3 linked regions of the Anolis sagrei genome follow. The protein of the gene in region 1 interacts with the protein of each later gene in a pairwise test. Links are inferred from orthologs where the notes say so. Each region holds a gene or a part of one and is shown in the gene's direction. Other genes may lie near its edges.

The links.
Region 2: the proteins of ADRB2 (region 1) and GPR37 interact in a protein complementation assay, tested with the Homo sapiens proteins (2 studies listed by BioGRID and IntAct, with this or other methods). The link is inferred for Anolis sagrei from reciprocal best matches to the Homo sapiens genes ADRB2 and GPR37.
Region 3: the proteins of ADRB2 (region 1) and KCTD13 interact in a protein complementation assay, tested with the Homo sapiens proteins (2 studies listed by BioGRID and IntAct, with this or other methods). The link is inferred for Anolis sagrei from reciprocal best matches to the Homo sapiens genes ADRB2 and KCTD13.

The regions. Positions count from the first base shown.
Region 1 is NC_090022.1:101,798,155-101,809,020, forward strand, and holds the start of ADRB2 (beta-2 adrenergic receptor), read left to right. Parts: upstream 1-5,749; 5' UTR 5,750-6,493; coding exon 6,494-7,697; intron 7,698-9,572; exon of another isoform or gene 9,573-10,866. UniProt on the Homo sapiens protein: Beta-adrenergic receptors mediate the catecholamine-induced activation of adenylate cyclase through the action of G proteins. The beta-2-adrenergic receptor binds epinephrine with an approximately 30-fold greater affinity than it does norepinephrine.
Region 2 is NC_090025.1:127,039,114-127,049,550, forward strand, and holds the start of GPR37 (prosaposin receptor GPR37), read left to right. Parts: upstream 1-6,225; 5' UTR 6,226-7,590; coding exon 7,591-8,571; intron 8,572-10,437.
Region 3 is NC_090026.1:17,154,678-17,165,738, forward strand, and holds the start of KCTD13 (BTB/POZ domain-containing adapter for CUL3-mediated RhoA degradation protein 1), read left to right. Parts: upstream 1-6,514; 5' UTR 6,515-6,721; intron 6,722-11,061. Other genes in the region: kinesin-like protein KIF22, read left to right, coding at 1,356-1,391. UniProt on the Homo sapiens protein: Substrate-specific adapter of a BCR (BTB-CUL3-RBX1) E3 ubiquitin-protein ligase complex required for synaptic transmission.

The DNA.
Region 1 (10,866 bases):
GGAAAAACAACCTTGCAATCACTTTCATTGAAATACAGTATATTGGAATAAAGCCTTATGTATAATATTTGCTGATAGGCTTGGTGATGAAAGGTCTCTCATATACAGAGTTGAGAGAAATCAAAGTCAACTTGATGACTGTTAACAACAATACAATACAAAGATACTCCACTTTCTAGGTTTCAAATTAAACAGATCCTTTATAGATTGTGAAATAACTTGTTCCAGTTAGATTTATTGATTAAATAACATATCTGCATTTTATGTCTCCCTGAACTCATGAAACATGGATTTAATGAAGATCTATATCCATGTTTGCTGGTCTTGTCTCCTGACACTCCTGTTCTTGTGCAAGGTATTCATCAAAATAGAAATAATAACCAAAATATTGAATATAGTTGGAAGAGACCACATGGGCCATCTTGCCCAATCCCCTGCCATTCAAGAAAAGTACCGTAAAGAGCCCACGACAGTTTCTGTTTAAAAGCTTCCAAGGAAGGAGCTTCCACCACACTCTGAGGCAGAGAGTTCCCCTGCTGAACAGCTCTTACAGTCAGAAAGTTCTTCCTAATGTTCGGGTAGAATCTCAGTTCCTGTAATTTGAAATATTGCTCCAATCCCAGTTTCCAGGGCAGCAGAAAACAAGCCTTCTCCCTCTTACTTATGACATCCTTTCACATATTTATACATGGCTATCATGGAACTGTGTCTTACTTTAGGTCTTCTGTGTCTAGTGAGTGTCTATCAAACAGGAATCTGATTAGTTTTGCTCCCTAACTGATCACTGCACAGAACTGAAAAAGTCAAAATGTCTTGTTCAACTCTATTTCATAGCACTTTTCAAAAAGCTTACTTTCTAAATGTACTCCTTGGAAAAATGAAATCAGATATAATAATAACTTTTATCGTACCTTTCTATTTCATATGCAAGCAGAATTCAATATGCATTTTGCCTCTCAATCTCTTATGTTGATCTTTGGAAAGATAATAAATTAACAAAGGTTTGGAACTTAATATAAGGTGCTGCCTATTATATTTCCCTACTTGGAACACCAAGTAAATATTGTGTTACATGTCAACTGATCTCCACATAGAGGTGTGTGTGTGTGCCCCCACGTGCATGTGTGTAATAGATACGATGAAAGAAAGGAACAGGAAAACAATTACAACTTGATTAAGAAAAAGCTTGAATGACCGAATACATGGATTTTGACCAGGCAGGAGGGGTGTATTGGAACAGGACAGAATAGGGATTCTGTTGGTGTAACGCCCATCCCACTGCTCAACAGTCTCCCTTCCTGAGCTAGCAGGAGTGGTCTCATGGTTGGCATTGGAGTCTCAGTGACTAATAGTTCTGGGAGATTTCAACTTCCATACTGAGACTGCTCCATTGGGAGTGGCTCAGGACTTCATGGCCTCTATGACAACCACGAGTCTGTCCCAGATGGTGTCTTGCCCTTTCCATGCTGCTGGACACACTTTGGATCTTGTTTTCTGTGCAGGATAGGATGATGGTGATGGTGGTGTGGAGGAATTGGTCACAGTTCCATTGTCATGGACCAATCACTATCTGGTCAAGTTTAGACTAGCTGGGACTCCAAACTTCAAAGGAGTGTGTGACCAATTAAGATGGTCTGCCCCAGGAGACTTATGGATCAGGATGGGTTCCTGTCAGCTCTTGGGGATTTTCCTGTCACCTTGGCAGGTGATTCTGTTGAGGCTCTGGCTCACCTCTGGAATGGGGAAATGGCCAGGGTAGTAGACACAATTGATCATGAATGTCCCCTCTCATGGAGCAGAGCCAAACCAGCCCCTTGGTTTTCCAAGGAGTTGGTAATTATAGAGCAAGTGAGATGGAGACTAGAGCAATGTTGGTGGAGAACTCAAAGCAAATCTGACTGAGCACAGGCTAGAGGGTATTTGAAAGCCTACTTCATGGCAAAGGGGGCAGCAGAGAAATCATTAATTGCTGCTACCATTGCATCTGCAAAGAACTGACCAGCTCAGCTGTTTCACGTAGTCAGGGGACTATTACATATTGCTCCTCAAGGAGAAATCCCTGATTACTCAGCAGCCCAATGTGAAGAATTTGCACAACATTTTGCAGATAGTCACTCAGATCTGTTCAGAGCGACTATGGATGCTGTTATTGATACAGTTCCAGTGGATGTAACTTTGGCTTATCTAGTATTGATGGAAACCTTTCAGTCTTTGCAGTCTGAGGGTGTGGACAGGATCCTTGGAGAGGTGAGAGCTACCACGTGTATTCCAGATCCTTCCTGGCTGATCAAACAGGTCTCTGGAAAAACTCCTTGCTCAAGAGAGCCATTTACTATATTCAACAAAGGACCACGTAATCCCTCCAAGCAAAATTTAACTAGCCAAGAGGGACACGGGTCGAGAGGGCAAGTGGTTGATCGAACTGCAAGAGGCTGATCAAACCTTTAAAGCCATAAATGGTTCAGGTCCAGGCTATTTGACTGACTGCATCCCCTTGTACGAACCAGCCTGGACTCTGAGATCTTCAGGAGAGGCCGTTCTCTTGGTCCCACATCCAACTCAAGCTCGTTTCGTGGGAACGAGAGAGTGGGCCTTCCTTCTTGGTGGCTGCCCCTCAACTCTGGAACTCCCTTCTTCCCAGGGAAGCCAGAATGTCCTTCTAGTAGCAGGCTAAAACTTTTTTTTATTCAGGCAGGCTGTTAAAGATGAAGGTGTTTAAAACCTTCAAGGGCTGCTGTGATTTTGTGGTGTTATTTTATATGCATTTATGGTTTTAACCTGGATTGTTTTAATATTAATGTTGTTTAATGCTGTTTTAATATTTGTATATTTTAAGTTGTATTGAAATACTTTTAGTTGTGAGCCACTTTGAGTATGGAGAGAAAAAGCAGGATATAAATAAATATGTATATAAAAGAAAAGTACTTTTGAATGAACTACCCACATTATTTCTGGGTTGTTAAATTATTCTTCCCTTTCACTGACAAATCCCAAAAGACTAGAATACAAATAGAGACTCCATTTTTGTGTAGCTGCAAAATGAACTCATATTCTGTAGTGACCTTTAAAAGCTCATATGTTCACTTGTGAATTTTCCATTCTGTAGTGGCAGGTCATTACCAGGAGGATCTACCAGGATGGCAAGTTGTGGAGAGATGGAGGATAGTGTGGGTGTTAAATATGTGATGTGCATGTGTGTGTACACTTTGCCAGTTGACATATTGCAATGCCATTAATTTTCTGTGGTTTTCTTAGACAAGGAATACTCAAGGCAATTTTGCCCTTTCTTTCCTTTGAAATATAGCCTGCAGCTTCTTTTTTCATTGGCAGTCTCCCATCCAAGTACTAACCAAGGCTGGCCCTGCTTGGATACAAGTATCAGATAGGAGCTAATGTATATATACAATGGAAGAAAGGAACAGTTAAACAATTATGACTTGATTAAGAGAAAGCTTGAATGACTGAATTCATGGATTTTGACTATGCAGGAGGAATGTCATAGAAAGGAACCAATAATAACTGCAATGAATGAGAGATCAATAAATAGTTTAGGCCATAAGAAGAGGCAGGGTAGATGAAGTCCAAAATGTCACACCTAGGGAGGCAATGTTTTCTTCTGTTGCCAACCGTAGATGTTTAATAAAAGACCCCAGGCAAGTAAACATAAATTCTCCCAAACATAAAAAGCACGCAGGAGGTAATATATAGCCCTCATGACTTTACTGCTAATGAATTGATCTTTACACTTTAGAAAAGGAAAAGCACAATCTCATTGTACTTCTTGTTAATAGCAGCTATTGAGAAACACAAAATACAGTAAGTATGACTTCCTGGTGTTTTGTTTATCCCTCTCTGACAAAATATGTCCTCTCTAGCCATTGGCTAGGTTCTCTGGAGAGACTTTACAGTTTTCTTGGGCCAAAAATTATTCATTTAAAAAAGGGTTAGCAATTATTATTATTATTATTATTATTATTATTATTATTATTATTATATGCAAAGTCCAGAAATATACTCTCAACCGATACTGGGGTTGTGCTCCATTTAAAAGCCTCTGCATCTTATTCAAGTAGGGACTTCAAATGTGGCAACCCAAAAGCCCAGTAACTATTATTTTAGAAACCATTTTTATGACATTCATGCACCACCAACTGAGCTCCAATTGTCTTCCTCTCCGTTATTATCTCACTGAGGTCCCATGAGGTTTGTTGTTGTATGTCTTCATGTTTCCAACTTGTGGCAACCTCAAGGCACTTCTGTCCATACATTGCAGCAATAAATGCAGACATGATGCTTAAATAAATATGAGGCCTGTCATAGGTCAAAAAAGGGTGGTTGGAAAAAACTGCAGGGTGACACAGGCTGGATCTACACTGCTCTGTATTCCAGATTATCAGCTTTGAACAGGATTATACAAGTCTCCACTAACAGACAATCTGGGGTCAGATCCTGGGATACAGAGTAGTGTAGATCCAGCCGCAGTCTTTCTCTCAGGTCGCACCTACACTGACCATTTAATGCAGCTTGGAGCTAAACTGAGGTGGCTATACAACCAACTCCCACAAAAGCATCCATAACAATGTCATCATCAATGTGCACCAGTGCTCTCTTGTTTGTGTAATTGCCATTCCGGCCTCCTTCTGGTTTTAGGATATCCTAGGTGATCAATGATCATCTGCACAGGGAAAACACTTTCTTCAGCACCAGTTTGAAGCTGCCTGAAGTGGCCAGTGTAGATACACTGTCGGACCAAAGAGAAAAACATGCAGTTTTCGGAACAGGAAAAAGTAGTTCCCTGTAGATCAGTGGTTCTTGACCTGTGGGTCCGAAGGTGTTTTGGCCTACAACTCCCAGAATTCCCAGCCACTTTACCACTGCCCTAAGTTTCTTGTGAGGGGTCTGCTTGTGTGAATGGTTTACAGCAGAGGTTCTCAAACCTTTTAAACAGAGGGCCAGGTCACAGTCCCTCAAACTGTTGGAGGGCGGGATTATAATTTGAAAAAAAATGAATGAATTCCTATGCACACTGCACATATCTTATTTGTAGTGCAAAAACCACTTAAAAACAATACAATTAAAATGAAGAACAATTTTAACAAATATAAACTTATTAATATTTCAGTGGGAAGTGTGGGCCTGCTTTTGGCTGATAAGATAGGATTGTTGTTGTTGTGCTTTCAAGTCATTTCAGACTGAGGTTGACCCTCAGCGAGGGTCGGGTAAATGATCTTGGAGGGCCGTATCCGGCTCCTGGGCCTTAGTCTGAGGATCCCTGATTTACATTCTGCTTAGACAGATATAGATTCATGGGACCTTCAAGTTGGAAAAGCCCACAAGGGCCTGTCTGGTTCAGCACTGCCCATCTTGGAAGGATGTGTAACAAATACTCTCTGGAAAGATGCCTCCCAAGAAGAGTTTGCAGATTTCCAAAGGAGATACTGCTGCAGAGATTAACGTGTAGACCAGGCATGGGCAAACTTCGGTCCTCCAGGTATTTTGGACTTCAACTCTCACAATTCCCAACAGCTGGTAGGAGTTGGAGTCCACAACACCTGTAGGGTCGAAGTTTGCCCATGCCCAGTGTAGACTTTGACAAAAACGAACACACCATCGGTGCGATACATTGGTGGTCCGGCCATGCACACAGGAGTAGAAAGCCTCCCACCACGCTTTCCCGCCACGACAGGGCTAGATGAGTCCCCCGCACCCGCACGCCCGCCCATCCCTCGGGGCACCAAGCCCCGGAGTTCACTTCCCAAAGGGTCCTGCGGAGGATGAAGCCCGTGGAATCCTCTGAGGACGCCAAGTAGGAATGGACGTGGAGGGAGAAGCTCGGGCTGGCAGACTCCAGGCGAAGGGCTTCCGCCGCGGCGCCCCGGCCCCTTCCTTCCTGCTTTCCTGCTTCCCCGTCGCGGGCTCCTTCCTCCTGTTCTGTCGGGCGGTTTTGCCGGAGCCCAAGCAGCTCCGGCTTCGGATCAGGTGCCGAAGGGAGCAAGGAAGGATCGGACGGAAGGTCTCTTCCTCTTCCCAACGGCCAAGCCAGCCATTTCCCCCCAGCCTTCCTTCTTCCCTCGGCGATCCCCGCAGAAAGAAAGAAAGAAGGAAGGAAGACAGGCAGGCAGGCAGGCGGGCGGCAGCCGGACCGACGGGCGGGACCCCATCCCGGAGCGTGGCTGCGCGGGTGTCGCGCGCTCGGAGGGTGGCCGTGCGCCGGCAGCCCATTGGCTGGGGGCGGCTTGACGTCACAATTAGGAGTTCCTATAAACTCCCCTAAACCTAACGGGAGCCGGGACAAGTTCTTCGGCGGGCGAGGGATCCGCAGGCGCGGCGCGAGCGGGAAGGAAGGAGGAAGGAGGAAAGCAAGGAGGAAGGACGGACTGGAAGGCAAGGGCCACATGCGGGGCCCGGTCCCGCCGCGCCTCCAAACGGCACTTCGTCGCGGCCGCCGGGAAGCCAGAGCCGCCCGAGGCTGACTTGGGCTCCTGGAGGCGCCATGGAAGTGGCCAGCTCCCCCGCCAGCCCGCTCCTGCCCTTCGCCTTGAGCCTGAACGATAGCCCCTCCGGAGGGCCCAGTTCGGGCAATGCCACCGCCTCGGAAGAAACCTGGGTGGTGGGCATGGGCATCCTCATGTCCCTGATCGTGCTGGCCATCGTCTTTGGCAACGTCCTGGTGATCACCGCCATCGCCAAGTTCCAGAGGCTCCAGACCGTCACCAACTACTTCATCACCTCCCTGGCCTGTGCCGACCTCCTGATGGGCCTGGGGGTGATCCCCTTTGGTGCCAGCCACATCATCCAGCGCACCTGGAAGTTTGGGAACATCTGGTGCAAGCTCTGGACCTCCATCGACGTGCTGTGTGTCACGGCCAGCATTGAGACCCTCTGCGTCATCGCCATGGACCGCTACTTTGCCATCACCTCCCCTTTCAAGTATCAAAGCCACCTGACCAAGAATAAAGCCCGGGTGATCATTTTGTTGGTTTGGGTCATCTCCATTCTGACCTCCTTCTTGCCAATCCAGATGGACTGGGACAAAGCTGACATCCCTGAGGCTGAGAAATGCTACAAGGATGAAAACTGTTGTGATTTCTTCATCAATGGAGGCTATGCCATCATTTCTTCCGTCATCTCCTTCTACCTGCCATTGGTGGTCATGGTTTTTGTCTATGGGAGGGTCTTCCAGGTTGCCCGGAAGCAGCTCAAGAAGATAGACAAGTGCGAGGGCCGGTTCCACCAGCAGAGCTCCCAACAGGAACAGAATGCAGGAAGAGCCGGTCACAGGAGAGTGTCCAAGTTTTGCTTGAAAGAACACAAAGCTCTCAAAACCCTGGGCATTATCATGGGCACGTTCACGTTGTGTTGGCTCCCGTTCTTCATTGTCCACTTTGTGCATGCCATCAATGAACACGTGATCCCCAAATCCCTGTACGTGATCTTGAACTGGCTGGGATATGTCAATTCTGCCTTCAACCCCTTAATTTACTGCCGTAGCCCAGACTTTAGGTATGCTTTCCAGGAGATCCTCTGCTTCCGGAGGTCTGCCTTGAAAATGTACATCAACGGGTATTCCAATAGCACTGGAAAAAATGACTTCATTGGGGATCACAATAGCTTTCATGCGGGGCGAGAAAAGGCCTGTGAATTGCTCTGTGAAGAAGACAGCCTTCCTCCTGGGGAAGAGCATTTGCATTGTAAAGGTACTGTGTTGCATGGTAACGTTAATTTGCAGGGATGGGACATGGTTGATGACCATGGCTGTTGATGGTAATGACATGTAAAATGGGAAATAGAACAGCTGTTTGGACAACTGCAGTGGTCCCAAATGCAGGAAGAGATCCCACGCTGGCATGTTATGGTTATACCAATATTTAAGGAAGGGCATGATTGGATTTGCGTATATATCAATTAGAGCTCCTTCTTCCATTAAGAGCAAATGCACTGCTGGGCCTTGTCCTCCAAGGAACTTCTTTGTTGTGATGTAGTGTCACCATGTTCATCTACCTCACAGGTGTAGGAATTGCAAGCACTGAGCTGAGCTGCCTAAAAGTGAAATCCCTGCGCTTGAGAAAGAATTTGGTGCTATTGATGACGCATCCCCTCTTTAGAAGATGATGGCTCTAAGGATTCCTTTAAAGCAGACATGTGCAAACAATGACCCTCTAGGTGTTTTGGACTTCAACTCCCACCATTCCTAACAGCCTCAGGCCCCTTCCTTTTCCCCCTCAGCTGCTTAAGTGGCTGAGGGGGAAAAGAAAAGGGCCTGAGGCTGTTGGGAATTGTGGGAGTTGAAGTCCAAAACACCTAGAGGGTCATAGTTTGTACATGTCTGCTTTAAGGCAAAGATATCAAGCTCAATCTGACAGATTTAGGAATACTGTAAAGTCAATGTTTACCTTTTGTTTAAGTTATTTGAATGTGTCGTGTTTTAAACATTGTATGGAAATCAGTTCAAGGAGAACCTCCAAAATCTTTATTAATTATAGCTGATACAAATACAACAAACATAATGTTTAGCACCACGTTATTTTAGTTTTTCAATGTATTTCACCCTGTGAAATACCACTTTGAAATTTGTTTTTAATTGTCATCTTCAGGGCTTATGTCATTGAGAAGCTGAGAGTTGCCTTGCAGTGTAACTAGCCCACCCTCATCGCCCATTTATCATATTGCACCAGTAGTAATATTCACGGGTTTCTTCATTCAGGGCTCATAGTTCCATATTTAGACTCTTGGCAGATACAAGGCAAATAGTGAGGAACTTGTGTGGGTCCTTATTTTAAAATCATGAAACAAAATGTTTTGCAGCGGTTGCTGTGATCCATCCCGATGGTGGTTTATTGAACTCTTGGAGTTTATTTGGAAGTCCAATTTTTGTGATAATATAAAACAATGTTTTGATTCTGTTGAAGGTTTTGTTCAGTAACCTGTTGTGCCTATGCTTTCATTTCCTCTTCTGTGACTTCCCATTGAGGCATGACAGGAAGGCAAAAATTATGGTTGCTCCAAGCAGTGCTTTGCTAGTCTTGGACCAGCAAGTAATTTGCAAGCAATTCCATTTAAGGGACCTTGGCTAACAACTTCAGTTTAGTAAGTGATTCTAAGGGCATGACACTATAATGACAAAAGTAAATACTCCACTCCCTTCCAAGAAATGCCTCCTCTTCTTCTTTTTTAAATAAAAAAATTGCAGTCTACAGCAGCCTGGAAGCGGTGAATTCTGGAATAAATATGGGATTGATCTAGGTTATCTGTATTATATTGCTAAGCTAGTACATAGTGTGCTTGTCCCTGCCTGGAGGTGTTTAATCGTTATTAAGAGCTTATATTTTTCTTAACAATTCATATTCATTGAGGAGTATAGCTATTTCCTTCCCTAACTATGTCCAGTTTTCTCTGTCCAAACAGCTGTTTTTTTGTTGTTGAAGGTTTTCATAGCCGGAATCAGTGGGTTGCTGTGAGTTTTCTGGGTTGTATAACCATATTCCAGAAGCATTCTCTCCTGGCATTTCACTCAAATCTATGGCAGGCATCTTCAGTGGTTGAGAGGTCAACCCCTCAACCTCTGAGGGTGCCTGCCATAGATGTTGAAGAAACATCAGGAGAGAATGCTTCTGGAACATGGCCATACAGCCTGTCTTTTCCCACTTCTCTTTGTGAGCATTGCTGGGCCTCTATGAAATCAGTCTGTCATATACTCTGTAAGAACATGCAAAAATCATCAGTGTTGGCACCATTCAAGAAAATTTCCCTGATTACCAAAGATGTAGAAGTGTTGTGTGCCACTTGCGATAGCTATTCAAGTAATTCTCTGATCTGAGTAGGTGTATGTTTTGCCACCTCTTCCTTTAATTAAGTTAAACAAACATCTCAAAAGAAAATGTTGCTGGAGCTATTAGGATACTCCAGGAATCCAAAAATTCTTGAAAATTCTGAAAACTCTTTGCATCCCCATTTGAATCAAAGCTTTACTAAGAAGTGTAGGCAGTTGAAGGGCTATAGTGTCATCTCTGTGAGGCCATGCAACTTTGCATGTGTGTATGTGAGAGAGAGCTAGAGAGAGCAAGAGAGAGAGAGAGAGATGCCCAAGTGCATGTTGACGGATCTAGGAAAGAAAACCAGTCAGCCATATGACTATGGGCACTCTCCTCCACTTCCCCCACTCCTAGTTGCAGCTTTGGATGCAGCTCTCTGTCATTCACAATCCCATGTTTGAAAGCAGCTTGTTTGTGATCCCTTTTCTTGGCACAGAGCTCCCTCACCTGGCAGTCAAAGTTTAACTTCCATTTTTGGTCATGGGAGGGGAAGGGAGCGGAACAAAAAGAGATGAAAGGAAAAGAGGTGCCTTTTCCCAATGAGGAAGACTTGTTGTAACAAAGTCGATGATTCATTAAGTATGCATTTCAAGGCAATCAGTATTTTTATACACACTTTTGAAACTATCCCAGGAGATTTAGTAGGCAAAATGTATTTTTATGTGACATTTCTAGTACTGTCTGAGGAATGGCCAGGTTGGGGGTGGGTGGGGTTATTTTTTAAGTTGTGTACTTTGGCTGGCCAGATCTGAAGAGAAAGGTGAAAGAACCCCACTGAACTTTGGAAATGTTCCAGAGAGCTGCTTCTGTCAGAGCTTAATGTGAGAGGTCATTCCAACCTTTCAAAATAACATTTGATTATTATTATTTGGTCTATGGAGGAAAAACTCTTGTGTGTTCTCTGGCAAAACTGAAAGATCGGGTGCAGCTCTGTCCAGTCATCATTTGTTTGCCATTTAGCTTGTTTCATAGACTTTTTGACTGTCACTTTTCCTTTCTTATTATGGGTGGGCTTTATGCGAGTTGCCAGTTTTCAAGGGCTGCCAAAGCGGAA
Region 2 (10,437 bases), on another chromosome or scaffold:
AAGATTTCAATTTTGGTGGCCAAAATGGAAATTTATGCTTTGACAATATGATGGGGCAGCTGGTGAGACACATTGATCTGCTTCTTTCTTTTCTTTGTTTTGCTGGTCAGGTGTGCTTATTGAGGGATTCTGGAGATAGTTACTGTGTCTTTGGTAATGACAGCGTTATGGTTCTTGCCCCACCCTATCTCCAGCAGATAGTGTATTCCCAACCATGTTGACTGCCATACTCAACAGGGTCATAACAGCTGGTGAAATGGGGTCATCCACATGTTAAATAGCAGGTAAATACATATCTATCTTCTGTGAAAACAGTAAGGTGAGATACATCTATCAATCATAACCCTATAATTGATTGCCCCATATACAGTATGACCCGCATCCCCTTATTCATAGGAAATATCTTGCAAGACCCGTCATGGACACCTTAAATATTGCATAGTGGACTCCATATTTTTTTTAGTACATTTGGGTCAGAAGCATACTATGGAATCACACTGGAGGACCTTTAGAGTCCACAAATACTTTCAGGGTAGGAGGGTGTATTTTTTTAAAGTGCAGGTAGATGAAACTGTGAATATTGAATTCATGGATAAGACTGTTGTATTGTATCTTATTTCCACAAAAACAATGGGGGGGGGCAGGTAGGTGAACATCACAGCAAAAATATAATGAAATACATCCAGGTGCCCCTTAGAAGTAGGCTAGCAAAATCTCTCTTGCTATATTTGAGAGAATATCCTTTTGTAAAATAGCATACATTCATAATATCTATTTGCAACCTACCCCTTGGGAGTCTTGAGGAAGAGCAGAATTGTGAGTGCAAGCTCATTATGATCATTACCTCCTTTCATACCAGCTGAGCACAAAGAAACCGGCAGCAAGACAAATAATGCTGTGTATATTTTTGTCTCTTTCTTTTCTTGTAAGCTTTTTTTTAAAGAATGCAAATGGAAAAACTGTTTATTTTTTAAGAATGGAGAATTAAAAATTGTTTGGTTTGCAGGCTAACTAAGCCATCTTGGCATAAAAAAACCTGTGGACAAAATTCCTATCACTTTCATCAGTTCTATTGCATCCTATATCATTATAGACTTCATTGAAATTTATTTCCAAGTACACATGCTAGGGCATTCAGAAAATTAAAATATTGGAATGACAACATCTATACTTTGGGAAAATACAGTAAATGTTTATCACTGATCTGCAATCACCCAATGGCACAACTAAAGTTCAGCATCTATAGACTAGCCATGAGCGTGTTGCACAGACAAAACACAGCCATGACAGGAACTGAAAATGGCACTTCTGGGTCATGTGCCACCAGAAGTGATGCTTTGGACTATGAATCACGCAATGCTAATGTTACATTTGGCAATGTTTAGGCCAGGAAACGGGAATGATGGACACCGTTCTAGGGCATGCATTCAAAGTCCAGTCGTATGACGTAGGATAGGAGATGAGCATGATCCAGTCCTGTCAAAAGAGAAGAAAAGAGCATCTGAGGATTATTTATGGAGCAATTCATTCTAGTGGATTTTCAAAAAGGGAGGGCATGTAATTGGAAGCTTTAGAACAATCTTGAAGTAGAAATCTCAGCATACTTTCCTAGTACTGTTGTTTTTAGAGGGTCAGAGTAGTTTAGTGTTTAAGCATTGGACTACAACTCGAGGGGTCAGGTTCAATTTTCCAGTTCACCATTGAAACCCACTAGGTGACCTTGGGCGAGTTAGCTACTTAGCCACATAAAAAATTGCAATAGTCTCACCTTAGGATCACCATAAGTCAGAAATGATTTGACAGCCCCTTCTACATTGCCATTTAAAATCCAGATTATTTGATTTGAACTGGATAATAGTGTAGACAAATATGATCCAGTTCAAACTCAAGAATGGAAAACGGAATGTTGAAGGACAGGAAAAGAGATTTAAAGATGGGCTGAAAGCCAACCTGAAAAACTCTGGCATAGACACTGAAAACTGGGAAGCCCTGGCCCTTGAGTGCTCCAGATGGAGGTCAGCTGTGACCAGCAGTGCTATAGAATTTGAAGAGGCGTGAATGGAGGGCGAAAGAAACGTGCCAAGAGGAAGGCGAGTCAAGCTAACCCCGACAGAGACCGCCTTCCACCTGGAAACCAATGCCCTCACTGTGGGAGAAGATTCAGATCAAGAATAGGGCTCCACAGTCACCTACGGACCCACTGCCAGGACACCACACTTGGAGAACCATCATCCTCGGACTGCTAGGGATCGCTTAGGTAATGGCAGGATTGTTGATAGCAGAAAAAAATCATGTCATTGCTATGGCAAGAGCACCTGGCAGTACAAAGGGTTAAACTTTTGTGCTGGCAGGACTGTTGACTGAAAGGTTGACGGTTCAGATCTGGGGAGCAGGGTGAGCTCCCGTCTGTCAGCTCCAGCTTCTCATGTAGGGACATGAGAGAAACCTCCCACAGGATATCAAAACATCAGGGTGTCTCCTGGGCAACATCCTTGCAGATGGCCAGTTCCCACAGGCCAGAAGTTACTTGCAGTTTCTCAAGTTGTTCCTGACACAAAAAAAATTGCTATGGCATAGCACATTTATGTGATAAACTTCGAAGAATGTGGTATAGTAAAAACAAGCACCCAAACACAAAACAGATTTATTCAGGGCTCTTCCACACAGCCATATAGCCCAGAATATCAAGGCAAAAAATCCCACAATATCTGCTTTGAACTGGTTTATCTGATCCAGACAGTATTTCCACAGTTTACCAGACCTTTTAGAAAATAAAAACTTGACCAGCTCTCTGGCGTGTAGAAATGGCACACCACGAGAGCGGGGCTGGGGGGAGAGGATGGAGGAAAATTGCCCCCCCCCCCCCCCCCGCTCTCTCATTTTTATGCATCGAGAGAGCCTGCCGAGGCTTCTAATGGAGGCCACATAAGTTTTTATTACTTTTCTAAGGGGTCTGAGGGCTTGAGGGGAGGGGGTAGGGCCTCCATACGTTCTCTCAGGCTAGTGTGCACCTTCTGGGGTGGGTGTGGACAGGCCCTCAGAAACATCCATATTTGGTGATGCTTCTGGGATAAAGGCCTGTCTGGATCCGGTCTCAGTTCAAAGCAGATATTGTGGGATTTTCTGCCTTGATAATCTGGAATATAGGGCTGTGTGGAAGGGTTATCTGAAGGCTCTTCCACACTGTCATATATCATGTTCTGCAGTTAATGGTTGAGTAATCTTTAAGTAAGAGTTCATGGGGAAAGCAATTAAAGGTGGAGGTATGCAAGAGATGGGTTGCAGCTGGGTGTTTCTGGATATAAAGAGCTAGCCTTGGGATTGATCTTTGGGAGAAAAGTATTTGTTTTATTTTGGTGATAGATGATGCTGGTTTTCCCCCAGGTTTGTGGATTTTCGGTATCCTGACCTGTCTCCCGTACTCTTGGAACCCTGAATCTTTGTACTACGGTATAGACTCTTAATCCCTGAACCTTGTTCTATTTCCCAGAATATCCAGGCGGAAAATTCCACAATATCTGCTTTAAACTGGGTTATTTATTTAAGAAGAACCTTAAAACCTGGCTCTTCCACTGTGCCTTTGATGAGTAGGTATACAATTTCACGTGAATGTTTAGCTAAAAGTTCTGTCATTGGAGTAGACGTCCCCCCCACTTATGGGAAAGCTTGACTCCACAACCCCCGCCATAATGAGTACTACTCCACATATTATCTGCTTCTCTCTTTTATCTTGTCTAAGTTTTTAATTAATTTTAATTAGTTTGTTTTTAATCATTACATGCAGCCCACCCATTGTCTCTGTGCCTGTGTCTATTGTAATTCTTATATTGTTATGTATTCATATGTTTTATGTAATTATGATGGAGCCCCTGGTGGTGCAGTGGGTTAAACCCCTGTGCTGGCAGGACTGAAGACCAACAGGTAGCAGGTTCGAATCCAGGGAGAGGCGGATGAGCTCCCTCTATCAACTCCAGCTCCTCATGCGGCAGTGGTTCTCAACCTTTCTAATGTCATGACCTCTTAATACAATTCCTCATGTGGTGGTGACCCCCGACCATAAAATTACTTTCGTTGCTACTTCATAACTGTAATTTTGCTATTGTTATGAATCATAATGTAAATATCTGATATGCAGGGTGTATTTTCATTCACTGGATCAATCTGGGCATAAATACCCGATACACACAAATCTGAATACTGGTGGGGTTGGGGGGAGTCATTTGTAGTTTCTGGGATTTATAGTTCAGCTACAATTAAAGAGCACCCTGAACTCCACCAATGATGGAACTGAACCAAATTTGGCACACATAACTCCCATGAACAAGATAAAATACTGGCAGGGTTTGGTAAGCATTGACCTTGAGTTTTGGAGTTGTAGTTTACCTACATCCAGAGAGCACTGTGGACTCAAACAATGGTGGATCTGGACCAAACTAGGCATGGATACTCCATATGCCCAAATGTGAACACTGGTGGAGTTTTGGGAAAACAGACATTGACCTTTGGAATTTGTAATTACTAGGATTTATAGTTTGCGTACAATCAAAGAGTTTTCTGAATTGGGCCAAACTTGACACACGGAACCCCCTTGACCAACAGAAAATACTGTGTTTTCTGATGGTCTTCGATGACCCCTCTGATGCGCCCTCACGACTCCCCTAGGGGTCCTGACCCTCAGGTTGAGAAATGCTGTCATGCGGGGACATGAGAGAAGCCTCCCACAAAGATGATAAAAACATCAAATTATCCGGGCGTCCCCTGGGCAACGTCCTTGCAGATGGCCAATTCTCTCACACCAGAAGTGACTTGCAGTTTCTCAAGTCGCTCCTGACACGACAAAAAAAATGTAATTATGATGTTGTTTATTGTTTGCGTTTTCTGTTGTGTTTTGATTTTGTTCATTGTAATTGTTGTTCGGGCCTGGCCCCATGCAAGCCGTTTCCAAGTCCCCATTGGGGAGATGGTGGTGGGGTACAAATAAAGATTATTATTATTATTTGAGTCCATATTCATATAATGTGGGATTTTATTCACCTCTAGATTGGACTACTGTAATGCGCTCTACTTGGGGCTGTCCTTGAAAATGGCTCGGAAATTTCAGCTAGTCCAGCGGGCGGCAGCCAGGATGTTAACTGGTGCTCCCTACAGAGAGAGGTCAACCCTCCTGTTGAAGGAGCTCCATTGGCTGCCGTTCATTTTCCGGTCCCAATTCAAGGTGCAGGTGCTTACCTACAAAGCCCTAAACGGGTTGGGACCTGCCTACCTGTGTGACCGCATCTCCGTTTATGAACCCGCACGCTCCCTTCGATCATCTGAAGAGGCCCTGCTCACGATCCCACCTGTGTCGCAGGCGCGTTTGGTGGAGACGAGGGATAGGGCCTTCTCTGTGGTGGCCCCCCAACTCTGGAACTCTCTCCCCAAGGACATCAGACAAGCCCCAATGTTGGCAGTCTTCAGGAAGAGCCTGAAGACCTGGCTGTTCCAGTGTGCCTTTCCAGAATAGGAAACTCCTGGCATCAAGTCCCAAATGCACTTTGTTAGAGATTCGGGATTATCTGCACATTGCACCTACCTCCAAATACCTCTACATATTACCTGTCAAGTTCAGCACTTTTAAATTTTGTCTATTACATTTGGCCTGGCCTTTAGGTTTTAATTGCGTCACGGTGTCATCGTTTTACTGTTTTATTGTTTGTGTGACGTTTATTATTTGCTTATGAGTTTTATTGTGTATTTTATGTTGTTGTCGGCGGCCTTGGCCTTTGTAAGCCGCATCGAGTCCTTCGGGAGATTTTGCGGGGTATAAATAAAGTTAATAAATAATAATAATAATTTTCTGCCTAGATATTCTGGGATATGTGTGGAAGGGCCCTCTGTCTCAATGAGGCTGTGCATGCCCTGTCTTCAGCTGCTGTGGGTGTGGTGGATTGCTATGTAGGGCTTCCCCTTCACTGAAGTGAATCTCAGCACTTTTGAGGTAGGTTGGGATTCAAATAAGCTTCATTCCAGAAGAAATGGTAAGAAATAAAGAAAGGGGAGGGGGAGGCAAAGGAAATGCATCTCCCTCCTTGCCCTCAACCCTCAGTGTTGCTACTGGGAGGGCTTGTTTTGTAATCCTCTTGAGCAACGCTTGGAAGCCACCTTGGCGCGCGTTTTCCCTCCCTCTCTCCCTCTCTCCCTCCCTGCTTCCTATTCTCCTCCGCCTCAGAACTGGGGCAAGTAGCGCAGAGAGGCAGACGCGTCGCGGAGGCTGAGGCGCCCCTGGAGAGCCGCGCCTGCGCAGTGCGCACGCCTCCCGTCTCTTCTTCTCCTTCCCTTTCTCCTCGCCTTTTCCCTTCTCTTGACTCGGAGCCGCCACAAAGCGCGAGCGGAGGTGGCGAGAGGGGGCTCCGCGGGAGGCGTCCCAAAGCCGCGCCTGGAGGAGAAACACCCGGGAAGGGAAGAAGGAGGGCAAGGGGACAGGTTCCCTTCCTCGAGGAAGCGCAGCAGCAGCCACCTTGCGCGCCTGGTCCGCCTCCCCTCCCCGCCCCCTTTCGCCCATCTATTCGGTGCCCATCTGTCTGGCAAAAAGGCAAAGAGGGAGCAACACGTTGCTGGCAAGCTGCCTTGCCTGCTTTCTCCCTTTCTCCCGCCCTCAAGTTGCTGCCGGGCACTGGGAGCAACTTTGAAGACCTCCCTTGAGCAGGGAGAAACACAACAGGAGGGGCTTGTCATTCAGTTCTTCCAGGCTGTGCTTTGGGGTTGTGTTTGTGAGGAGAAATCATAAGAACAGGACAGGTTTTGCGCGCCTTGCCTCGGTCCGCTTTCTCTCTCTCGATGGAGCAGCGTTGCTTCGCCCGACGGAGCGTTGCCTGCCACAAAACCACCGGCTGAGGGAGAGATGCTGGCCAGGATGCCAAGTGGGCGACCCCAAGGCCTCAGGGGGCGAGTGTGGGCTCGCCCAGCCCCGCCAGTACCTCTCGCCGCCTTCCTGGATCTAACTTCCCAAGGTCTTCTCTTGAGAGGCTGCCTTGCCTTCAGGACCCAAGGGGAAACCGTTTCCTGTCATCGGATAACGAAGCCCTTCTTTGCCTTTCTATGAACATGAGATTGGATTTGCTCCCTTTCTGGACTCCTGGAAGCCTGGCCTCTGTGAAGGATGTGACTGGAACCTGCAACCTCTTGTGGAAATAAAAGACATTATTTATTCATCACCCAAGTCGCCTTTCTCTTTGCTCCAGCCTTAGAGGAGATGTTTGGCCCTGGCAACCTCATCAGCTGCAAATAAAAGGGCATCCTTACTCTGTACCTGGCAACCTCATCTGCTGCAAATTTTGTTTTCATGTCAGGAGCAACTTGAGAAACTACAAGTCACTTCTGGAATGAGAGAATTGGCTGTCTGCAAGGAGACGCCTGGATGTTTTGATGTTTTCCCATCCTTGAGGGAGGCTTCTCACATGTCCCCGCATAGGGAGCTGGAGCTGACAGAGGGAGCTCATCCATGCTCACCCTGGATTTGAATCTCCAACCTGTTGGTCTTCAGTCCTGCCGGCACCACCGGGGGCTCTGCTGCAAATAAAAGGGCATCAGCACAGAGCTGTACTCCAAAACATGCATCCCATCAAGGCACTCTTTGGCTTGGCATGGCTTCTAGGCAGGCTTTCTGCCCTAGCAGCTCTGCCCCAGGCACCCTCCAGAGGAGATGGCCCTCCTGTTGGCAGAAAGGGCAAGGAGTGTGGAGCATGGTGCCGGGCCTCTCTGCCACCACTGCGGAAAGAAGCAAATGGGCAAGAAGTTGTCTGGGCTGTGGAAAGCATGGCTCAAACTTCGGCTCAGAGCAGACAATCCAAAGGCTCTACAGCTCCAACTCCACAGGACTGGACTTCTTCGAACAATGCCAAGGATTGGAGTATCAATGGAGAAGCCGTGCCACAGCCTGTTGTCTCCTTGGGAAAACATAGCCAGAAGCATGTCAACAAAGACACTATTATAGCCTTGGAAACTGCAAGAGACTTTGATCTCCTGCAGGAGACAGAAAGTAGGTGGCATAGTACAGGGATTAGTTCCAAGAGACATGCTAGACTTAAGCGAGGTGCCACTGAGCTCCAGGACCAAGGACGAGTAGGGAAAGCCAAGGCTTTCAAGAATGTCCACCCCGCAATAAATGTTTATAACTTCACAGACAACCAAAGTACCCATGAGGTAGAGAGTGATCTCCCTCAGGCGCTGGCCTTGAATGGCTCCACAGTTGGTGCTGTGGAGAGAGATGCTGGTGCCCTACGCAATGGGACACTCCGCCCAGGTCGGGTCAAGAATCCCTTCTACCCCTTGACGGAGGAGTCGTATGGTGCCTACGCGGTCATGTGCCTCTCGATAGTGATCTTTGGCATTGGGATCATGGGCAATATGGCTGTGATGTGCATAGTGTGCCACAACTACTACATGAGGAGCATCTCCAACTCCCTGCTGGCCAACCTAGCCTTTTGGGATTTCCTCATCATTTTCTTCTGCTTGCCACTGGTGATCTTTCAAGAACTCACCAAAAAGTGGCTGCTGGATGATTTTTCTTGCAAAATTGTACCATACATTGAGGTAAGTCAAAGAATGTGATATTAGTGTTCACATGGTGGGATCGTGGATCTCCTTAATTAACAAGAATAGCATATTTTGCTGAGCGTGCCTTCAGTGTTGTTCCTTTCCTGTACTCTGAAAAAGTTTTCAATATCTAGTTAACTTCCATTTAACTAGGAATGGTTAAGTTTTGAATATCTAGTTAACTTCCATTTAGGAGCAACAGTGGTGCACTGGGTGGAGCCGTTGTGCTGACTGAACTGCTAACCTGAAGGTGGATGGTTGGAATCCATGAGATGAGGTGAGCTGTCTGTCAGCTACAGCTTGCCATGCAGGGACATGAGAGAAGCCTCCCACAGGATGGTAACGCATCTGGACATCCTTTCGGCAACAGCTCTGCAGATGGCCAATTCTCTTACACCAGAAGTGACTTGCAGTTTCTCAAGTCACTTCTGACACAATTAAAAAAAACTTCCATTTAATATGCTTCATTTCAGCTCCTTCCTCAATCTCAACCTTGGCAATTAAAAAAAAGAAAAAATCATGCTCATTTCAAGATGTGAAATATCATAACTTCTAAAGAAATTGTGGTATGTAAAGTTGACATAATTGACTCCCAATGCTCTGACCACATTTTAGCTTTGGTCCTCTTGACTTCAATGAGGCTGATTATGAATTATACCAGTTGAAATAGTTGAAATAGGATTTAATGTTATATATTGGGTCAGATCTACAGATCCACATGAATGTGAGTTTTCTATTCTATGCATGAATCCATCATTCTACATTCAGAAACACTATAAATGAATAACTGTATCAGAATGTGATTAATAATTTTTGGTTACTGCTAACACAAATAGAATTTGAAAAAAATCTGTTCCTGTTTTGAAAGTGTTATTTCCTGTTTTGTTGTGCAGTACTTACTTTGGAAGTAGTTGTTATGTTTCAGAAACTGCATTTTTGTGTCTGCCACCAACTATGTTAAATTGGTTGAGAGACTATTCATTGAAAAACTATAGCAAAATGTGTTGCAGGATTTCCCCCCCCCCAAAAAAAAACCAAAGTTTTTGCAGTTCAATAAACTTTCCCCATGTTTTATGATAGAACCAATTAGGAAATGTCATTTATAACCCAGGAACACAAATTATGTTACATAGTGTAATAGGGCTATGACTCAGATTTGTATTCCTATCCATACTTCCCAATTTTGATTTTGAAATTATTCCTACTTAAAGTAAATTTCCATGAAAACAGTAAAACTTATTTCTAACTTCTGAAATATAATTCTGCTTGGCTTGCATTTGAGTATTCTATTGTAACTGTTAAACCAGACTATCATAAGAAATTATGGTCCAGTTCATGGAAACTTTTACATCTGTCTGTAGTTGGATATATTGTGAAGTCACACATGGAAGGAGGGCTTCTTTATTGTTCTTGCTGTTGCCCAGTTTACTTAAGAAACAGAGAAGAAAAATGTTTCCTTTTTCATGTGACTTGATAGTTTGAAACCCATAGATGTTATTGATGTATCATTAATGTAATTGATCATTTCCAAATACCATAGTTTCCTATATATATTTTAAAAAGTGCCTTGGGTTTCCTTTAAATCTAGTTTGGCAAACACAGCAGTATCCTGTCAGCCAAGCTTTCAGCCAGCTGGCCCAAATCTTGCCATTATTCAGGTTGTCTGTTTTATTTATTTACTGAGGAAACCAGAATCACTAAAGCTAGTGGGTGGTATGGAGTAATTTTGGCAAGCAGTGCTACTTTGCCTGTATGGCAATATGTTCACTATCACTCATTTAAGTAACAGAAATAAGGGGAGGGAAGTTTCTCCTTATCACTTAAGAAGGATATTCCGCTTGCTAGGTAGGAAACAGTTGCTGG
Region 3 (11,061 bases), on another chromosome or scaffold:
ACAGGGGATGAGCTGGAGATGTCACTGCCTTCGTCCTTTCACACATTTCTCTGAAGTACAACCAACCCAAAAAGTTGTTGTACCTTAAAAACGCACAACTTTATGGTGATACAAGCTTTCATAGAACACCAACTGCTTCATTAGATTCATGAACTGTTGTGCTAAATAGGCGCAGAGAAAAAAATAACCCTAAACATTGTAGACAAATGGTCATGACACACGAGCAGAATAAGACTTTCATAAACAAAGTCAGGAAATTTATTAATTTCAGAAAAAGTAAGCGTACCTCTTCTGACATTCAAACCTGAGACTATGGTTAATTGACTACGGCCATGGATTTGAAATCGGTTTACAAACCTGATTTCTTTCAGATCACTTACCATATATACTCGAGTATAAGCCAACACAAATATAAGCCGAGGCACCTAATTTTACCACAAAAATCTGGGGAAATGTAGTGGCTTGTATATAACCCAAGTGTGAGAAATGCAGCAGCTACTGGTAAATTTCAAAATAAAAATAGATACCAATAAAATTACATTAATTGAGGCATTCGCAGGTTAAATGTTTTTAAATATTTACATAAAACTAGTTTAAGATAAGACTGTCCAACTCTGATTAAACCATTATTCTAACCTTCTACAATGTAAATGTGCTTATGTATCCTTCCAATAATAAAGAGTAAATAAATATAATAATAACAGTAATAATAGAGTAAAATAATACATGTAATAATAATAGAGTAAAATAAGGGAAATGTCATAATAATAATCAATAGAGACAAATAATACCTCAAACAAACTAGAGTTTTTTCTCCCACCCTGAACATTTCACAGATATATAAATCCCAATTGCATAGTTTCCAAACTCTGAGGATGCCTGCCATAGATGCAGCCAAAAAATCAGGAGAAAATGCTTATGGAACATGGCCATTACAGCCTGGAAAACTACAGCAACCCCTAGTAGCTTAGATTTTTGATATGATTTACAATACAGGATGTGAGGAAAGGGAGAAAACTAAAATGCTGCCTTTTTTGGAGTTGGTGCACATTACTATAGGTATGAGCCACATTTCTACTTCCTGTAGGCAGGTCAATTTGGAGCAGGGTCTTCTTGTCTCCATTATGCTCAATGAGAAATACAGTTAGCGGAAGTTGTTTTACAAGAGGAAACGCAGAAGGGCAGTATTAGATTTCTAGCCAGCAGATCTTGTGATCAGACATAACTAAGAGCTATGGATGGTTTTATTACCCTGACAGTTGCATTTATGTGTTTACACAACTGTGTGTGTGTGTTGTCTGGTATGAATAGTTGCAGGATTTAACATTCTGTCCTCTTTTCTGTATTTCCTGCAGGCAAATATCTTGGAACATTGTGGAAAAATTTTGTAACCAGATCTGATCTGCAGAACTACAGCCCTATATCCTTGTTTTAATTCATTGTGACTGGTTTTCCATTTTGTTTAGCTTCAGTTTAATATGCTGATATATGTGTGTGTGTGTATGTGTGTGTGAGAGAGATCTCATTCTGGCAATTTGTCTTGTAATTAAGGCAAGGCTCATAATGTAACAAAGAAAAAATAGTTTTTTATACAGGAAAGTGAGGCAAAAAGATGCATCTGTAGCAAAAATGAATAGTTAAAAATTGATTAGGCAGGCCTGCTGGAAAATATTTTGTATTTTTAATAACTCTTTTGATATTTGGTGATGTACTGTTTTTAATATGATTTATGTTTAAAGTGTGGTTTTACTATTGTAGTTATAAGGCACTGTATTTTTGCCATTATCTATGTGTAAAACTGCTTTGAGTCCCCATAGGGGTGACAAAAGCGGTATATAAATACTGTAAATAAATAAATAAAATTTGTAGAAAATGTTTCTATTTCTAGTTTTTATGGTTTTATTGTGCTTTTTAATTTTAATAAAATACACACAAGAAGAAAATAGTCAAAAATTCAAAAACGTTTTGTGGTTTCAATACATGCAAATTAAGGAATATTTTAATTTGGAAAAGAAAATAGGTTTTGGAGAGAGAAAGACTTTCTGGGATAATATATTGAATACCGAAAGGAAAACAATTACTAAGATATATGATAAGTTAATTGGATGGGCAACGGAAACGGAGGAGATAAAAAACTCCATGATTAAATGAGCAAGAAATGTCAGCAGAACGATTAGTTTAGAGGAATGGACAAAAGTTTATGACAAAACGTTTTAAGATATACTTATGCTTCTGATATAAAATTGCTTTAAAATGTTACATCGATGGTATATAACACCAAAAATAATTAGGGATAATGTATAAAAATATGGATAACAGATGTTGGAAATGTAAATTACAAGAGTGATCGTACTATCATATGTAGGGGTCACGTGAAAAAACATCAGAATATTGGAAAATGGTACACAATGAATGTAGAAAGATATTGAAAATTGACTTTCCAATGAGACCTTTTAGGAATATATGATTTGGATTTATTTAAAGATTTAAATGCTGATAAATTGTTCACTTTTTTGCGACTGTGGCGAGAATGACCTTTGCTAAGTTCTGGAAAATAGAGTTGATTCCCTCAAAGACTCAATGGTTGGATAAAATAATGGAAATTAAGGACATGGATAAATTGACATTTTTATTAAAATCAAACAACGGAAAGGGAGTAAAAATGACGGACTGGACAGTTTTTGAAGATTATATTTACAAGGATGGTAAATAAGATTTTTGACAAAGACTGAGGAACCATATTTTTATTTGTTTTCGGGACAATAGAAGAAACTTTTTCTTCATTATGGGGTGAAAGGAAGAAGAATGGAAGTCAAATTTTTTTCTTTTTCTTTTTTTGTCTTGTTTTGTTCTGTTTTCTTTTTAGTATGTGTTTTGTGTTGTATTTTGATTTTATGTTTTTTTTTTGTAAAATGAATAAAAATTACTTATACTGATGGGGGGGGGGGAAGGGACCCCTTTTTCTTTCTTTACTTCCATAACTGACCTACCCCTCTTTTCTCTCACTTGTAGTTTTTTCATCTTTCCTACCTTCTCTCCCTTCCCTCCACCTCTATTCCTTTGCCTTTTTGTGATATCCTTATTTCTGTTTTCTAGAAGGCGGCCCTTTTCAGCCCCAAGCTCCCTCCTTTCTTCCCTTATAGGAATGTGAGCTTGTCCTGTTTTCAACATTTTGATCTGCATTTCATCAGAAAAGAAAGCTACTTTTGTGAAAACAATTTATCATACACAGTTTGGAGCTACACTGCCCTATAACTGCCCTATAACCCAGGATCTGATCCTAGATTACCTGTTTATCCCAGATTATCTGTTAGTGTGGACTCAGGTGTTCCAGTTCAAAGCGGATACTGCGAGTTATTCTGCCTTGCTGTTGTATGGCTATGTGGAAGGGTCCTCAGGCCTCTTCTACACTGCCATGTAAAATCCAGATTATTTGCTTTAAACTGGATTATATGGCAGTGTAGACTCGGGCCTCTTCTACACTGCCATATAATTGAGATTATCAAAGCAGATCATCCACCTTATTTGCTTTGAACTGCAGAACATGAATCCACTCTGCCATATAATCCTGTTCAAATCCGTCTGAATTTTATACGGTACTGTAGAAGGGGCCCCATATAATTCAGTTAAAAGCAGATATTGTGGATTATATGAGGCCCTTTGTGTTTGCTTTTATTATGCTATTTTATACTGTTTATTGTTATTGTCATTTGTTATTTTATATATTTTGTTATGATGTGTTTTGCTGTTCTGTGTGTAACTATGTTGTATTATTTTGGGCTTGGCCTCATGTTAGCCGCCCCGAGTCCCCTTTGGGGAGATGGTGGCAGGTTATAAATAAAGATTATTATTATTATTTTATCTGCTTTGATAATCTGGATTATAAGAAGCCTCGTATAATCCAGTTGAAAGCAGATAATCTGGGATGAGATCCTGGGGTATAAGGTAATGAAGATCCAGCCAGTCAGCCCTACAATATAAAGTGTTAGTTTTGACCTTTAATGCCTTACATGATTTGGGTCCTTACCTACAGGATCGCCTTTTCCCATAGAACCTACCCTTTAGGACACTGTGGTCTTTTGGTGGATGCTGACTCCAATTTAAGACCCAACTGAAGACCTTTCCGTTCCGAGAGGTCTTCCCTGTAAACTCTGGATCATGAATTTTGAATTTACATTATATTACCACTATGGGTTGGTTTTTGTATCCTGTGTTTGGTGTATGTGTTGTCGAACAATTTAAAACGGCAGTGGATAGTGAGATCCAAGCCGCTGTGGGTTAAGCCTGGTAAGAAAAAGCAGCCAATATTCCAGAATAAATCTCACCAAGTTGAAGCAGAACCCACCGAGGTATTTATTTAATTTTAGCTGAAAGTAATGCCAGCCTGCAGTAATCCACCCCCAAAATAAGCTGAAATACAACAAAACAGGCATTTTTATACAAGTCTGATTCAAAGTTCCCACCATCCCCAGCTTGGCCATGATTGGCCAAACCAAGATAACGTCAATTAGCTCTCCTTGCGGAGGTGGGAGTCTGGCACACTTTAGCCAATGGGAGAGCACTGCCTGCCTCTGATGTAGATTTCTCTCTGTCCTGGAAACGAAAAAGGGGGAAATAGCCTTTCCAACGCCCTGCCAAGAAGTAGGAAAACCGCATTCAAAGCACCCCTGGCAGAGGGCCATCTAGCCTCTGTTTAAAAGCCTCCAAAGAAGAAACCTCCATAACACTCTGGGGCAGAGAGTTCCACTACTGAACAGCTCTCACCATCAGGAAGTTCTTCCTAATGTTCAGATGGAATCTCCTTTCTTGTAGTTTGAAACCATTGTTCCACATCCTAGTCTCCGAGACAGTTGCATGGTTTCTCATGACTGAACTCCATACCAGAATGACAAATGTCACCTATTGTCCAAGCAGCAACACAAAGGTTGGGTGGTCCTCCAGGGCTCCCATTGACCTCTGTGTCACCTGGGACTTATGGGTTGCATGGAGGTAGCTGATTTAATCCAATCAAATGCAAAGGAAGCTTGGCAAGATGTTGGCTGATCCTCCCAGGGCAGGAAAAATGTGGGCAAAGGTCATCGCAAGGCTGGGTTGGCAGCTTCTCAAATCAATTTTATAAAGTGATACAAAAGCATGAAGAGTCTTTCAGTTGCTTCCGACTCTTCATGGCCTCATGGACCAGCTCACGCGAGAGCTTCCTGTCGGCCGTGGCCACCCCCCAGCTCCTTCAGAGTCAAGCCAGTCACTTCAAGAATACCATCCATCCATCTTGCCCTTGGCCGGCCCCTCTTCCTTTTTCCTTCCCTTTTCCCCAGCATATTTGTCTTCTCTAAGCTTTCCTTTCTTCTCATGTTGTTGTTGTTCATTCGTTCAGTCTTCTCCAACTCTTCGTGACCTCATGGACCAGCCCATGCCAGACCTCCCTGTCGGCTGTCACCACCCCCAGCTCCTTCAAGGTCAGTCTAGTCACTTCAAGGATGCCATCCATCCATCTTGCCCTTGGTCGGCCCCTCTTCCTTTTGCCTTCCACTTTCCCCAGCATAATTGTCTTCTGTAGGCTTTGCTGCCTCCTCATGATGTGGCCAAAGTACTTCAACTTTATCTCTAGTATCCTTCCCTCCAGTGAGCAGTCGGGCTTTATTTCCTGGAGCTGCCAATCTGCTACCGGGCACAATTCAAGGTGCTGGCGTTAGCCTATAAAGCCCTAAACGGTTCTGGCCCTACTTACCTCTCTGAACGCATCTCCACCTATGAACCGACTAGGACATTAAGATCGTCCGGGGAGGCCCTGCTCTCGGTCCCGCCTGCGTCACAGGTGCGGTTGGCGGGGACGAGGGACAGGGCCTTCTCGGTGGTGGCCCCTCGGCTATGGAATGCCTTACCTGTAGACATCAGACAGGCCCCTTCGCCGCTGGCGTTCTGGAGGAAGGTTAAGACCTGGCTCTACGAACAAGCGTTTGGCTAAACAGTGCAACTGAACACAGGAAGACGGTAAAATTGAACATAGGAAATGGTACAAGGATTATGAGAACGGATTCCGATTTGTTATTGAGGCGTTATGATATGATAATGATTGTTTGATTTTGTCTGCTGTATATTATGTGTTTTAATCGCTTAGGATATTGTTGTGATAACCTGTATTGTGTAAACCGCATTAAGTTGCCTAATTAGGCTGAAAAATGCAGTATAGAAATAAAGCAAATAAATAAATAATAAATAATAAATAAATCTTCTCATGATGTGGCCATAATTATTATTATTAGGCTGTTAGGAATTGTGGGAGTTGAAGGTCCAAAACACCTGCAGGGCCCAAGTTTGCCCAAGGCCTGCTCTATAGAATACTGCCTCTTACACAACACAAAAACTTCTCACTACCTCCAGCGCATGCGCCCTGAAATAATCTTGGTCCTCTCTGCGTTCCGTTACCTTTCCCTCGCTGTTAAAAAAAAATCGTTCTGCGCATGCGCCGTTCTCTCTTCCTCTCTCTTTCCTTTTCAATACCCTCGTGTGTTGTTGGGCTTCAGCTTGCTTCACACGGGCGGTACCCGGATGTAGCTGCTCACGTTCTCCAAAGAGAGAGAGAGAGAGACCCCTAGGGGAGGGAGAAGGCGGGGAAGTTTACGCATGCGCCGTGGCCTCTCTCCTCCTCTCCTTTCTTCCCTCAGGGGCTTGGACGTCTCTTAGGCTGGTCGCTAGGCCTTGAATCCAGGCGGGGCTGGAGGTGAGTGGGCCTCGTCGGCGGGGGAAGCGGGGGACGGACTCTGGGCCGGAGGTCGAAGGGCAGGAAGTGGCCTCAGGTTGGGAAGCCAAGAAAGAGAAGGAAGGAGACAGGGAAAGAGAGAGAAGCATTGGTTGGGATGAGGGCAGCCCTCACATCCACATTGTAGAGTGAATGCGGTTTGACACCACCTTAACTGTCATGAGCAAACTGGGGCCTTGTAGTTGTTTTGGATTCCAACTCCCACCATTCCTAACAGCCTCGGGACCCTTCCTTTTCCCCCTCAGCCACTTAAACACACACAAAGGCTGCATCTACACCATTTGACATCACATTAACTGTCTTGGCTCAATGCTGTGGAGTTTTCCAAGGTGTTTAGCCTTCTCTGCCAAAGAGTGCAGCAAACTACAACTCCCAGGATTCCACAGCATTGAGCTTTGGTGGTTAAAGTGGGGTAAATTGCCATTAATTTTACAGGGTAGATGCACCCAAACATGCACTTGCTGTTCTTCATTCCTCAAGGCTATGTATCTAGAAAGAGTTGAAGCAACATATTGTCGAAGGCTTTCATGGCTGGAACCACTAGGTTCTTGTGGGTTTTTTCGGGCTATAGAGCCATGTTCTAGAGGCATTTTTCCTGACGTTTCGCCTGCATCTATGGCAAGCATCCTCAGAGGTAGTGAGGATGCTTGCCATAGATGCAGGCGAAACGTCAGGAGAAATGCCTCTAGAACATGGCTCTATAGCCCGAAAAAACCCACAAGAACCTAGTTGAAGCAACAGCTTGCAGGTATATTGTCGAAGGCTTTCATGGCCACAATCACTGGGTTGTTGTACGTTTTTTTGGGCTGTATGGCCAAGTTCGACAAGCTTTTGCCATTGGTGTGTCAGAATTCGCCAAAAACCTAAGCATAGCTTGAGTGGGGTGCCACTTCAAGAAAAAAATGGCAATATTTATAGTTTAAATAAGAAAAAATGTATAATCCATGCTGAGTTATAGAGCGAACAATGCTCAAATGTGCAGATGTTAAATTTGTAGAGCCTTTTACAAATTTAGGGATGGAATTAGTTTAGTTCTTATAAGGTGTCTGCATGTCTCTGTGTCTGCATGTCATCAAAAATAGCCATGCATGTCAGTGCTGACACGAGTGTCATAGGTTCACCAGGCATTCTCTCCTGACGTTTCACCTGGTTAAACATGAGCCAACAATGTCATGTGGCGGCAAAAAAAGCCAATGGGATTTTGGCCTGCATCAATAGGAGCATACTGTCTAGATCCAGGGAAGTCATGCTACCCCTCTATTCTGCCTTGGTTAGACCACACCTGGAATATTGTGTCCAATTCTGGGCACCACAATTCAAGAGAGATATTGACAAGCTGGAATGTTTCCAGAGGAGGGCAACGAAAATGATCAAGGGTCTGGAGAACAAGCCCTATGGCAAGCCATGAGAGTCAAGACAAAGATCCACCCAGAGGAAAAGTGTTCTTGCCATATATCAAGGGAACCACTTAGGGAAGGGAAGCCGATGAGGAAACACAACATACTAACTATCTACAGACCCACCAAGAAAATCCAACAAATGCTATGTTCAGCAAAGGACAAGAGGGATCCTCTCACCTCTGCAGGAGTCTACCGTATTCCATGCAGCTGTGGACAAGTCTACATAGGGACCACCAAACGCAGCGCCCAAACACGAATCAAGGAACATGAAAGGCACTGCAGACTACTTCAACCAGAGAAGTCAGCCATAGCAGAGCACCTGCTGAACCAACCTGGACACAGCATATTATTTGAGAACACAGAAATGCTGGACCACTCTCACAACCACCATGTCAGACTACACAGAGAAGCCATTGAAATCCACAAGCATGTGGACAATTTCAACAGAAAGGAGGAAACCATGAAAATGAACAAAATTTGGCTACCAGTATTAAAAAACTCTAAAATTAAAACAGCAAAACAGTAGAGGGAAAACAATCAGGGACAACATACAAACTATCTACAGAGCCACCAAGAAAGTCAGCCACAGCACAACATTGCAACAGCACAACAACAGAGAGGAAGAGGCAGGGACATATAATTATCTCTCAACAAAAGTTTGCCCCAGGCACAGTCAGGCCATTGTATGCTAATCAAGGTGGTCAGTTGAAACATTCACACCTAGCCCCAGCAGAGAAGAATCCTTTGTCTCACCCTGGTCATTCCACAGATATATAAACCCTTTTGCCTAGTTCCAACAGACCTCACTACCTCTGAGGATGCTTGCCATAGATGCAGGCAAAACATCAGGAGAGAATGCCTCTAGACCATGGCCATATAGTCCGAAAAAACCTACAACAACCCAATCAGGGACATCTAATCAGCCCTCAACAAAAGATTGCCCCAGGCACTGCCAGGCTATCAAATGCTAATCAAGGTGGTCAGTTGAAACATTCACGCCTAGCTCCAGCAGGCAAGAGTTCTTTGTCCCACCCTGGTCTTTCCACAGATATTTAAACCCATTTTCTTAGTTCCAACAGACCTCACTACCTCTGAGGATGCTTGCCATAGATGCAGGCGAAACTTCAGGAGAGAATGCCTCTAGAACATGGCCATATAGCCCGAAAAAAAAAATACAACAACCCAGCTTGCAGGTGGTTGATAGATGAAGACATGGAAATGTCAGGACTAATTCCCAGTGTGGTTGCATCAGGGATGGGTAAAGGTGAGGCAATAGGAGGAAACAATAGCCTGAGGCAGGTTTGTTGAGCCAAAGGGCATTGGACACAAAGATGAGTGTAAATCTCCCATTTCCTGCTAGGAATAGCAGGAATGTGCCAGTCAGACAGAAGGTGAATTGGGATGTGTTAGTAGATCTCTGGGTAATTTTTCAGCATTTTTAAATGGGTTTCTGATCCCTTATTGTCTAAGAAGAATATATATAAATAAGTCTTAGAATATTCAAGAGAAAGCCAGGAATGCATTTTTGTGTGTGACAGAGAACATGTAGCCTTGGTTCTGGAGGAAGAATATATTCAGAGCCACTCTAATTTTTAACTATTAGTATAAGTACATGCCAGAAGTGACATTTTTCACCTGATTTTGGTAAACGGACCTCCAGATTCTAGTAAAAATCAAAGAAAACCCACAAGCCTGAAGTTTACCCCCTTTCCTATAGAAGACCTACAACTGGTGATGAGCAGACAGGTCCAGGATGGGATGTCATTGAAGAAGTGGAAGTGTTGGGCGCAGTGTGAAGCTGGTGGCAGTGGGGGACAGAAAATTTTTTGAAATTGGCTTGAAGGTTTGCAGAGTGTTTTTTTCTGCAGAAAGGGAAAAAACTTTTTCTCCAGATTATATGCTGTATCTTTATTGGTCTTAAAAGCCTTTCCTCTCATAGTGAGTTAAGAAAGCAATAGAAATGAAACAATAAATACAGTAGGCATGACTTGCTCTTTAACGCTGTAATGAGTAACAGCAGTGGGCAATAAGGAATTAAAACAATTTTTAAAATTAACTTTCCTGGTTCTGACTCACTCTCTAAATGTTACTGAATTGCCATTGCTTTGGGTATAAGTCCTGAGAGAAAAGCAGGGTATCGCCTGCCTGCCTGCCTGCCTGCCTATCTATCTATCTAAAAGGCATTGGCAAACTTTGTCCCTCCAGGTGTTTTGGACTTCAATTCCCACAATTCCTAACAGCTGGTAAGAGCAAAATTTACCCATGCCTGTTTCAGATAGATAGATAGACAGACAGACAGACAGATAGATAGACTGACTTTGCCCCTACTAGCTGTTAGGAATCTATCTATCTATCTATCTTTATCTATCTAAAACAGGCATTGGCAAACTTTGTCCCTCCAGGTGTTTTGGACTTCAATTCTCACAATTCCTAACAGCTGGTAGGAGCAAAGTTTACCCATGCCTATTTTAGATAGATAGCTAGATAGATAGATAGACAGACAGACTGACTTTGCCCCTCCTAGCTGTTAGGAATCTATCTCTATTTATCCATCTATCTATCTATCTATCTATCTATCTATCTAAAACAGGCATTTGCAAACTTTGTCCCTCCAGGTGTTTTGGACTTCAACTCCCACAATTCCTAACAGCTGGTAGGAGCAAAGTTTGCCCATGCCTATTTTAGATAGATAGACAGACAGACAGATAGACTGACTTTGTCCCTACTGGCTGTTAGGAATTGTGGGAATTGAAACAATTTCCTGGAGGGACAAAGTTTGCCCATGTCTGATCTAAAATAACAGCCATCGGCACAGCACTAATGACGCTGAATGATGGAAATTACATTCTGACAACATCTAGAAAGTGACACATTCTGCATTCCTGCCCAAAACAGTCAAAT